Oryctolagus cuniculus: one gene and its partners. The protein of the gene in region 3 interacts with the protein of the main gene of each other region in a biochemical or structural test. Links are inferred from orthologs where the notes say so. Each region holds a gene or a part of one and is shown on either strand. Other genes may lie near its edges. The genes, in order: DNM1, DNM2 and ITSN1.

What was found.
Region 1: the proteins of ITSN1 (region 3) and DNM1 form a complex in vitro, tested with the Homo sapiens proteins (2 studies listed by BioGRID and IntAct, with this or other methods). The link is inferred for Oryctolagus cuniculus from reciprocal best matches to the Homo sapiens genes ITSN1 and DNM1.
Region 2: the proteins of ITSN1 (region 3) and DNM2 form a complex in vitro, tested with the Homo sapiens proteins (2 studies listed by BioGRID and IntAct, with this or other methods). The link is inferred for Oryctolagus cuniculus from reciprocal best matches to the Homo sapiens genes ITSN1 and DNM2.

What each region holds. Positions count from the first base shown.
Region 1 is NC_091432.1:231,543,473-231,547,116, forward strand, and holds part of DNM1 (dynamin-1), read left to right. Parts: intron 1-2,744; coding exon 2,745-2,858; intron 2,859-3,644. UniProt on the Homo sapiens protein: Catalyzes the hydrolysis of GTP and utilizes this energy to mediate vesicle scission and participates in many forms of endocytosis, such as clathrin-mediated endocytosis or synaptic vesicle endocytosis as well as rapid endocytosis (RE).
Region 2 is NC_091447.1:66,757,274-66,760,917, forward strand, and holds part of DNM2 (dynamin-2), read right to left. Parts: intron 2,164-3,644; coding exon 2,052-2,163; intron 1,861-2,051; coding exon 1,696-1,860; intron 177-1,695; coding exon 1-176. UniProt on the Homo sapiens protein: Catalyzes the hydrolysis of GTP and utilizes this energy to mediate vesicle scission at plasma membrane during endocytosis and filament remodeling at many actin structures during organization of the actin cytoskeleton.
Region 3 is NC_091435.1:11,143,045-11,146,688, forward strand, and holds part of ITSN1 (intersectin-1), read right to left. Parts: intron 3,594-3,644; coding exon 3,511-3,593; intron 3,280-3,510; coding exon 3,196-3,279; intron 2,890-3,195; coding exon 2,716-2,889; intron 702-2,715; coding exon 553-701; 3' UTR 1-552. UniProt on the Homo sapiens protein: Adapter protein that provides a link between the endocytic membrane traffic and the actin assembly machinery. Acts as a guanine nucleotide exchange factor (GEF) for CDC42, and thereby stimulates actin nucleation mediated by WASL and the ARP2/3 complex.

The DNA of each region.
Region 1 (3,644 bases), on a different chromosome or scaffold from region 3:
ATGAGTGGATGGGTGGATGGATGGGTGGGTGGATGGATGGGTGGATGGATGGATGAGTGGATGGATGGATGGGTGGATGGATGGATGAGTGGATGGGTGGATGGATGGATGGGTGGATGGGTGGATGGATGGGTGGATGGATGGGTGGGTGGATGGATGGGTGGATGGATGGGTGGGTGGATGGGTGGATGGATGGATGGGTGGGTGGATGGATGAGTGGATGGGTGGGTGGGTGGATGAGTGGATGGGTGGATGGGTGGATGGATGGATGGGTGGATGCGTGGATGGATGGGTGGGTGGATGGGTGGATGAGTGGATGGATGGATGGGTGGATGGATGGATAGATGGATGGATGGATGGATGGGTGGGTGGATGGATGGGTGGATGGATGGATGGGTGGATGGGTGGATGGATGGATGGGTGGATGGATGAGTGGATGGGTGGATGGATGGGTGGATGGATGAGTGGATGGGTGGATAGATGGATGGGTGGATGGGTAGATGAGTGGATGGATGGATGGGTGGGTGGATGGATGGGTGGATGGATGGATGGGTGGGTGGATGGATGGATGGGTGGATGGATGGATGGGTGGATGGATGGATGGATGGGTGGATGGATGGGTGGGTGGATGGGTGGGTGGGTGGATGGGTGGATGGATGGATGGGTGGATGGATGGATGGGTGGATGGATGGATGGGTGGGTGGATGGATGGATGGGTAGATGGATGGATGGGTAGATGGATGGATGGGTGGGTGGATGGATGAGTGGATGGGTGGATGGGTGGATGGATGGATGGATGAGTGGATGGGTGGATGGATGGGTGGGTGGATGGATGAGTGGATGAGTGGATGGGTGGATGGGTGGATGGATGGATGGGTGGATGGATGGGTGGATGGATGGGTGGGTGGATGGATGGATGAGTGGATGAGTGGATGGGTGGATGGATGGGTGGATGGATGGATGGGTGGATGGGTGGATGGGTGGATGGATGGATGGATGGGTGGATAGATGGGTAGGCATGAGAGAGACATGTTTTTAGGGAGCGGACAGCCTGCTGCACCTCCAGGTGTGTGAGGAGATGAGTGGAGAGAAACACCCTCCTCACCTGGCCTGCTGCTCTCCTCCAGTTGTCTGCAGTGCCGCTGGTCGTCGCGAGCCCTGCTCCGCCCCTGTTGTACACTTGACCCTTAGGGCCTCAGCTCTTCTCTCCTTAGGTTCCAGAGGCCCTAGCGGCTTTGTAAGAACCTAGGTGTTTGTGGGATCATTGGCTTAATGTCTGTTTCCCTCTCAGACCCCACAGGGGAGAGCTGAGTCTATCAGCCCCAAGCCCAGTGCCTGGCACACACAGTCGGGCTCAAGAGAGTGACAGGTTGAATAGGTGTTGTGTGTCAGTTGGGCCAAAGTCCCTGGTGCCTACACTGTGCCCCCAGGCAGAGGGCAGACCCTGCCCCATGGGGTCCTGTGTTTGTAGGCAGAGCACAGCTAAGACCCCTGGGAGCCCCAGACAAGGTGGGGGCTGGGAACAGCTGTAAGTCAGGGCACGGAGCAGGGTGGTGAGATTTGTCAACTGCAAAGACAGCCAGGGGACCTTGGCCTGCCCAGGACAGGTTAGGGGAGACATGTGGGACCAGGCTCTGTGTCTCTGGTCACCGGCACAGGCAGCTGTGGTCTGTGCGCGACTCAGCGGCTGATGGGCTGTGTGGCGTGGGTTCTCTGTGAGGCTGTCAGGGAGCCCTGAGGAGGGTAAGGAGAACTCCAGGGTGGCTCCAAAGCCCCCCCCCCCAAGCAAGCCTAGCCCCACAGCACCCTGGCCTTTGCTCAGAGAGAAGCCACAGTCAGTGCTAGGAAGAGCGGAGACAGCTGCGTCTCCATGCAATCCGCGGCCACGGCCTGGGCTAGCACCTGCCCTGGAGTAGAAGCCCCAGGCCCTGGTCAGTGATGGCTCAGGACCCCCCTGGGCGCTGCTGTTTCTGCTGTCACTCTGAGCTTTCCTGGGAAGAAGGGGCCTGGAGTGTTCCTGCTTCAGCTGCTTCTCCCGGCCTCTGGGGGTCTGAGGCCAGACGTTCTCAGATCCGTGCTAGCATAACATTCGTTTATTCATGCCACAAAGAGGTAGTGATCCCTCGGTGCCTGCCGGGCCCTGTGCGAGGTGCTGGGCTGCACCGGCGGGCGGGAGAGTTCAAGTTCAGCAGAGGAGCTGCAGCAAGAAGGCAACCAGAAGCATAGACATGGCTGGCCAAGACTTCAGGGGGCGATCAAAGACGATTTCGGGCATCCTGATTCATGTCTCGCGGGGGCCCGGCAGGGCTGCATGGGAATGCGAATCAGAGCCGACCCTTGAAGGGCGAGTAGGCGTTTGCCAGGCAAGAAGGGACGAGAAGCGCTTTCTAGGCAGAGACAACAGAGCCCGTGCGAAGTCCCTGAGGTCAGAAGCAAGTCTCAGAACAGATCGGGCGTTGACCTTAAAAAGCCCCTTGGAGTTGGCTTGCCGGGTCAGCCACGCGAACTCTGCTTGCACGCTTTCAGCCACGGGGAGCTCATCCCTCACTCAGACAGCTGTGGCTGCGTCTTCCTCTGTCTTCCACCCTGTTCACTTGTGATTCAGACCAGGGCAGGTCTGGCCCCCGCCCTCCCTCTGAGAGTTGGGGGAGGGGTGGGCTGGTGCATGCCTCTCTTGGCCCACCCCCTCCTCCGTGGGGAAGCCTGCCCGTCACCTGCTGACCTCGCACCCCCTCACCCTACAGGTCATCCGCAAGGGTTGGCTGACCATCAACAATATCGGCATCATGAAGGGAGGCTCCAAGGAGTACTGGTTTGTGCTGACCGCCGAGAATCTGTCCTGGTACAAGGATGACGAGGTGAGCACCGAGCCGCTGGCCGGCAGGGGGCTGGCCAGGGGCAGTGTCAGGCTCAGACTCTGCCGTGGCCTTGGAGTGAACTGGACAAGGCTTTAAAAAAAAGTCCCAGCAGGGACCCATGAGCGGAAGTGAGAAGCCGGGATCGGGAGCAGGCGAGTCCAGGGGCTGGGGGCTGAGTGCCATGGGGAGGGTGGGCAGGGGCGCTGGGCCCCCCTCCCCGAGGCCGCCAGCCCGGCGGCCTTCCTGTTTTCCCCATTCAGGGCGTGCCGCCTCCTCCGTGGCCCCCACAGGCTCATGACACACAAGAGTCCAGTTGCCAGACACCCAGTTAACCCCTGCACCCCAGGCCCCTGGACCCCCCACAGTCCCAGGAAGTGCCCTGGGTGTCTCCAAGCCGAGGGCCCCGAGTGCTGGTGCTCCTGGGGCTGCCACACGAGACCCCCTTCGCCCACTGCGGCACACAGAAGCCCCCGCACTGCCCTCCCCCACTGCTGGTCTCCTTTAAGAATGAGTCTATTTGGCTTCCACATCTGGATTCCAGAGGTGACCAGAGAGGGGGGGCGGGGGGCTCGTGGTAATGAACTCCAGCTGGCCAGGGAGTGGGGGAGGGGACTAGTGGAGGCATTCTCCATAGGGGAGTGAGACCGGGGGCGGGGGGGCTGTGATTTTGGTCCCCGTGCCCCCTCCCTGGTCCCTGTCTGCTCCGTGTCTGCCCCCGGGAAGGGGCCCCACCTCCCCACCCTGGGCGGGCCCCTCTGTCGTCACTGGTGGGGGCGCCAAGCCATC
Region 2 (3,644 bases), on a different chromosome or scaffold from region 3:
GACACGGTGCTGGTGCTGATGTCCCCGATGATGTTGAGGGCCTCCTTCAGCGCGTGGTACATGCGCAGCATGTCGTCGCGCCGCTGCGCCTGGTCGGCCGACTCCTCCATCAGGCTGCCCTGGTCGGCCGCCGAGTACAGGTAGGCCAGCAGCTCGTGGTGGATGAAGGCCTTGGTCTGCGGGGCGGGGGCGGGGTCAGGCCGCGGGGGCAGGGCCAGGCCGCTGGAGGGGCGGGGCCAGGCTGCTGGAGGTGGGCCGGGCCAGGGTGTAGGGGCGGGGCCAGGCCGCGGGGCGGGGCCAGGCGAGCCCCTCTGTCTTACAGTGTGTCCTAGGGGCACCAAGTTTCAAGTTTCCGGACTATGGAATGAAAGGCATGAGTTTATTTTGGCAAAAAGCCTTTTGAAATCCCCACCGTTTTCCTGTTCCAAAATGAACTCAGACCTTTAATTCGGTCTTTCCGTGCACTTTTTGGTGCGTATTTTATTTTCATCTTCGTGACAGGCAGAGTGACAGAGACAGAAGAGAGAGGTCTTCCATCCCCGCCTCTCTCCCCAAATAGAGGGCCAGGCCAGGCCAGGCCAGGCCAGAGCCAGGACCAGGAGCCGGGTCAGAAGTGGGGCGGCCGGGGCTCGAACCGATCCCGTGGGGGATGCAGGTGGCACAGGCAGAGGCTTCGCCCGCTCCGCGGCCGCCTTACACATGTGCACAGCCCCTTTCTTACACTGATGGTGTCCCTGTGAATCCCTGCCTCGGGTGAACACATCTTCTCAAACAATGCACTGGCAGGTGGGGACTGCCTGCAGGACGCCCGTGTGTAAGCACGCGCCTCCCTCTGCAGGGCCCGCGTGCGTGCGTGCGTGCGTGCGTGTGTGGGTGAGAAGCGCTGGGGAGAACGAGGCGAGGCCCCTGTGTGCACTGCCGCTGCACAGTCGCAGAGGGGCCTCAGGGTGCCGTGGATAAACGTGGCTTATTTGGGTGCCAAAATAAATAACTCTTTCCAAACAGGGTCTTCAAAAGGCTCGAGGGGCATGCGCGTTAAGGGAGCGGTGCGCCTGCTCAGCCCTCACCAGGAGCAGCCCCGGTGCTCGGGGTCCCTGGGGACAGCCGGGAAGGGGGGGCTTCAGCTGCCCAACCTAAGGGCAGGGGCGGACACGGGCTCAGCCTGGGTGGAAAACCCCACTTCTAGGTATAGCTGCCACCTGCAGTGCCAGCATCCCATATGGGCGCCGGTTCGAGTCCCGGCTGCTCCACTTCCCATCGAGCTCTCTGCTGTGGCCTGAGATAGCATTGGAGGATGGCCCAGGTCCTTGGGCCCCTGCATCCTCGTGGGAGACCCGGAGGAAGCTCCTGGCTTTGGGTTGGCCTAGCTCCAGCCATTGCAGCCATCTGGGGCATGAACCAGCGGATGGAGGGTCTCTCTCTCTCTCTCTCTCTTTCTTTCTTTCTCTCTCTCTCTGCCTCTCAGTAACTCTGCCTTTCAAATCAATCAGTCAGTCTCGGGGGAGGTTCCTTGACCTGTCTGGGCTCGACTTTCTGGCTGTGGCCTGGGCCGCTCTTCTCTCTCTCTTTGGCTCTCTGTCTCTCTGATTGATTTATTTGAAAGGCAGAGTTACAATCTCGGGGAGGTTCCTTGACCTGTCCGGGCTCGACTTCCTGGCTGGCCTGGCCGCTGAGGCCGCTGGCCGGGGCACTCACGCTGTTGATCATGAGGTGCATGATGGTCTTTGGCATGAGGTCGCGGATGGACTTGTTGATGATGGCCACGTACGAGTCCACCAGGTTGCGGATGGTCTCCACCTGCCGCTCCAGCTGCGGGTCCATGGAGAAGGTGTTCTCCTGGGCCCCGTCCTCGTTCTCCGCCTGCAGGTGGGGGAGCGGCAGTGAGGGCCGAGCGCCCCGGGCCAGACCCTCCCGGCTCCTGGGAACGCCAACAGGTTCATTTGGGGACGTGGCCTCAAGGACAGGGAGACAGCATCCCCTTCTGTGTGCATCCCGGGCTTGCCTTCAGTTCTAGAACGTTCTGCGCCGCCGCCCCTGAGCGGGCCCCGTACCTGGTCCTTCTCGGGGTAGACGCCGGCGCGCAGGAACGAGGCCTTCCAGCTGTCCACGTCCTCCTGGGAGTCACAGGCCAGCTCGATCTGCCGCAGGTCCTTGTAGACGTTCCTGGGGCGGCAAGGAGGCGCGTGACCGCGAGGGCTGGGCTCTGGGCTCTGCTGGTCTGGGCTCACATCCAAGCTGGGGCCGGCGCTGGCGCACGGCTGGTTAAGCCGCTGCCTGCCATGCCAGCATCTCACATGGGCGCAGGCTCAAGAAGTGGCTGCTCGACTTCCGATCCAGCGCCCTGCTAGTGCACTTGGGAAGGCAGTAGAAGATGGCCCGAGTGCTTGGCCCTGCACCCCCGTGGGAGACCCGGATGGAGCTCCTGGCCATTGTGGCCATGGCGGAGTAAACCAGCGGCTGGGAGCTCTCTCCCCTTGCCCCGTCACTCTGCCTTTCAAATAAATCCATCACTCTCAAAAACAAAACAGCTGGGTCCTGTGAATGGGCCTGCACCTGCTCCTGTTCCTGCTACGCTGTCAAGGGCCAGGCCCAAGTTCAAGAGTCGAATTTGTGGCTTTCCGCTCATGCTGGCCCAGCCGACGCCTCTCCTTCCCTGGGATCCACCTGCCCCCCCGCCCGTGTGCCTCGGTGGGGGCCAAGGTCATTGCCAAGCCTCCCGAGGTGGGCACATGCCCCACAACACCCTGGCCCAGCGGGGAGCTGCCACTGAGGTGTTTTTCAGGAAGCCCAGAGCAGCGCTGTCCACCCGAACTTATGATGGAGGGAGTGAGCTTTTTGTCTCACTTCAGTGGCACGGCCCACGGGGGCGAGGGATGGGCCCGGCCTCTGGACAGGTTTTGCACAGCTGTGGGTTGGTGACAGGGGGAAAGGGAAGAAAATTAACAAGTACAGAGAAAGAGGAAGGCAACTTTGTAACTGAAGCTGTGTCCTGGAAGACTGTGCACCCCCCAGTACTCAGCCAATGGGGACCTGGGGGGGGGGCTGCGTGCCTGCTCATCAGTACTCAGCCAATGGGGACCTAGGGGCGGGGCCTTCGTGCCTGCTCTCATCAGTACTCAGCCAGTGGGGACCAGGGGCGGGGCCTGCGTGCCTGCTCATCAGACACCTGATCTCCCGGCTCGGGCACTGCCCAGAGCAGACAGGTGGGGGCATTCCCGCACACAAGCAGATGGCTACTTTGTTTCTGGGTTTCCTGAACTCCTGAATGACACATCAGGTCATGGCCTGTCCTGCTGAGGGGGGCACCGGGCTCAGGGCGGAGGGGTCAGCTGTCGGGAATGCTGGGACCAGCCGTGCACTGTGGCCACTCACACGGACCCAGCGGCCTCTGCTGACCGCTGAGCTCTGTGGCCCGTAGGCCTTGGTTCCTGATGAGGGCCCCGCCCGCTCGCCTGACCTCCAGACTGAATGCTGTGGAGGCAGTGACTCCTCCCGGGCCCCACCCCTGCCCAGATGCCCACAGCCTCCTCCCCCCAACCCCTGTGACCTCTCCCCCACGCATGGCCCCAAACCTGCTGCCGACTGCCCAATGACCCTGCCTCATTTTTCCCATCTCTGCCGATGGCGGCTACAGGCCCAAATCC
Region 3 (3,644 bases):
CATGGGTGGGTCAGCTCCCGTGAGACCATCATAGCATCTCCCTGGTGGGCAATGGGATTTCAAAGCAATGACAGGACCATCACGATTGTTTCTAAACATCCGGGGACTGGGCATTGCAGGCCAAGGAGTCTACTGGGGGCAGCAGGAAGGTAAGAAATAAGAGGATTACATGAGTTCTCAAAAAAAAAAAAAAAAAATACAGACACCGCATGTAGAAATCTGATTTCTAATCATCAGACCCGGGCCCAGAGCCTGGGCGGAGCCAGACTCCCAGCTGAGGTTAGCTGGGGGCTCTGGGAGTTCAGAGACCCTAGAAACCATGATGACACCTGCGGTGAGGGGCAAGGAAGACACAGTCTCGTTTCATAACAGGAGAGGTTGTTTGGGGTGGGGGCAGGATTGTCAAGGATTCCTAGACGCTCTGGGGGCCTGTCTTTGCTGTCCCATTGCCCTGTGGCTGAACGCCAGGGATGCCGAGCGAAGGAACACAAATGCCAGACAGCACCTGCTGCCTCAGGTGGGAGCTCCTCCGAGCACGTGCTGAGCCGCTCCCTACGGCTCATCAAACAACTGTAAGTCCAAGCGGACCACAATCTCTCCTGTGGGGACTTCGTGCAGCAGGAGACACTTTGTAACTGGCCCCTTGGAGCCCTGGTCTTTCTTGATGTCAGCCACACGGATCTCTGTTCGACCCAAGAAATCTGAAAGGAGACAAACACACCGTGCTCACAAGAATCCCTTCTCCTCCAGGCGCGCACCCGCCATCGCAGTCTCCTCGAGAGAAGCTATGCCTTCCTTCCGCTCTGAGCGCTAGGTAGGCCCAACACTGGGGTCTCCACCTTATTCCCTGCGATGTGTCATTATTTTTAATATAACAGCAGCAAACAAAAAGCTTCCACTTAACAGAATAAAGAGCCCTGGGGCCAGCGCTGTGGCAAAGCAGGTAAAGCCACCGCCTGCAGTGCCGGCATCCCAAATGGGCACAAGTTCAAGTCCTGGCTGCTCCTCTTCTGATCTCTGCTATGGCCTGGGAAAGCAGTAGAAGATGGGCCAAGTCCTTGGGCCCCTGCCCCTGTGTGCGAGACCCAGAGAAGCTCCTGGTTCCTGGTTTCAGATCGGTGCAGCTCCGGCTGTTGCAGCCAATTGGGGAGTGAACCAGCGGATGGAAGACCTCTCTCTCTCTCTGCCTCTCCTTCTCTCTGTGTGTAACTCTGACTTTCAAATAAATAAATAAATCTTAAAAAAAAAAAAAAGTTAAGAGCCTTGACTTGGGAGGCAGAGAGTTCTGGCCACATGATTAATATTTAACCAGCTCTGTGACTATCTTTAGGCCAAAACCAACAGCACCTAACTCACAATGAGCTAATTCACACAAGGTAGTAGGAGAGGAAGGCTGCATGGAGCCCTTTAAATCTTGAGGGGGTAACACTGCCCTAAAGCCCTCACTCTTTTTTTTTTTTTTTTTTTTTTTTTTGACAGGCAGAGTTAGACAGTGAGAGAAACACAGAGAGACAGAGAGAAAGGTCTTACTCCGTTGGTTCACCCACCAAGTGGCCAGCGCACTGCACCCATCTGAAGCCAGGAGCCAGGTGCTTCTCCTGGTCTCCCATGCGGGTGCAGGGCCCAAGGACTTGGGCCATCCTCCACTGCCCTCCCGGGCCACAGCAGAGAGCTGGACAGGAAGAGGGGCAACCGGGACAGAACCTGACGCCCCAACCAGGACTAGAACCCGGTGTGCCGGCGCCGCAGGCAGAGGATTAGCCTAGTGAGCCGCGGCGCCAGCCAAGCCCTCACTCTCGTTACTTGTATTTCTTCACAGTCAAGTTGAGGCCATAATCTTTAAGCTTAATCTCTAATTTCTATGGGGTTGAGGCAGAGAGCGACAGTTTCTTAGAATCTCTGGTCAGAGACCATTGTAAAGCAGGCACAGACGCTGGCTAAAAGAATGATGCAACCAACACAATTTTGCTCAAGCAACCCCTTGCCCAAGCAGCCGTGCCTTCCAAAAGGGCACAGATTGCTTCTACTGCCATGGTCATGGGCTCTTCTGCTCCATTAGCATTGGCCAGTTTTAAAATAATAAAAATTAAATATTCTTATTTTATTTGAAATGCATGGAGACACAGAGAGTCAGCCAGAAAGAGAGACAGAGAGAGAGAGCGAGCTTCCACCCACTAGTTCACTCCCCAAATGCCTGCAGCAGCCAGGGCTAAGCCAGCAGCTCCATCTGGGTCTCTCACATGGGTGGCAGGGACCCAAGTCCTTGAGCCACCCTCTGCCGCCTCTCAGGTTGCATAGTGGCAAGAAGACGGATCAGAAGTAGAGGAGCTGGGCCTTGAACCAGGCACTCCAGTATGGGACGTGGGTGTCCCAAGTGACATCACCACCACAGCGCCAAGTGCCAGCCGCTCCGTATCAGCGTGGCTTTGTGCCAGGGATGACAGAACTACACTGAAACTCCTAGGTACACCCCTGTTGGCAGCTACCTGCTCTGGACAGCCCAAGACTGTGACGCAAATCCAAGACAAGGACACTGTGTCTGTGCACCGGGCTGCACCTGCTGTGCATGAAAGCCTTATCTTGGGCCAGCCTCATCATTTGAGAGAGAAATCCAAGCCACTCTGGGCATCGCATCCCCAGGAGAGGAGGCGTCCGCCCGCACAGGCTGAGTGATGGGGAAGGAGCAGCGAGCTATGAGGCACGCCCGCGACTCACCATCGGGTGAGAACTGGTCCCTCTCGAACACGGTGATGCACAGGACTTCCTGCTCCAGGTCTCTGATGAAGAACTGGCAGTTGGAATTCCACTTGGGGTTCAGGGTGTCCTGGATCGTCTTGGTGATGTGGCACTGGGAGCCCATGGTCACCTCGCAGTAGGGGTTGCTCTTTCCTGGAAGGCACAAAACCCTTCACCAGGGCGGGAGCCACAACTCATCCCGCTCCATCACCACGCGGCCTACGTGGCCTCACATGGAGAAGCTGGGCGAAAACACACAATTCAGCACCACGCTTCAGACAGGGAACCGACCAGGGCATCCATGGGCTTACGAACCAGAGCCCTCCCAGGCAGGCTCCGAGTGTGCCACAGCCACTGGGTGTGAATGCAGCCACGCGGACCTTCCCGGACAGCAGAGCGAACAGCTCCAGGGAAGACTGCAACAGCCGCATGGGCCACCGGGGCCGCGCAGGTCCTCACCGTGTGACCGGCAGGGCTTCAGCTCAATGCCCTCTACCACGTTCACCATCAGCCTTCCAATGCCCGTTGCCCTCTGGGACCGCACTGGAACAGCAGAGGGAAAAACATAGCACAGATGCACAGATGCTTCACCCTTAGCCTGGACACCTGCCCCGCCCTCCACCCGTGCTCCAGCATCCCAGCCTGCACCCTGTGCCCAGCCATCTCACGACCTCCCCGCTGCCCCCAGGAGCCTGTCCCAGCTCTAAGGGATCTGAGCCTGGCCAAACGGCTGCCCCACGGCAGCGTGGCCAGAGCCCGGCCCGCGGGAGTTACCCAGGTAAGCCTTCTCCCGCTTCTTCTTCTCCGTCTCTATGTAGAGTTCAGAGGCAGCTTTGATCTTCTGCACCCAGGCGGTCCTTGAGCGGGAAAAGACACAAAGTTGCCAAACAACACAGGAAGGAGGCTTG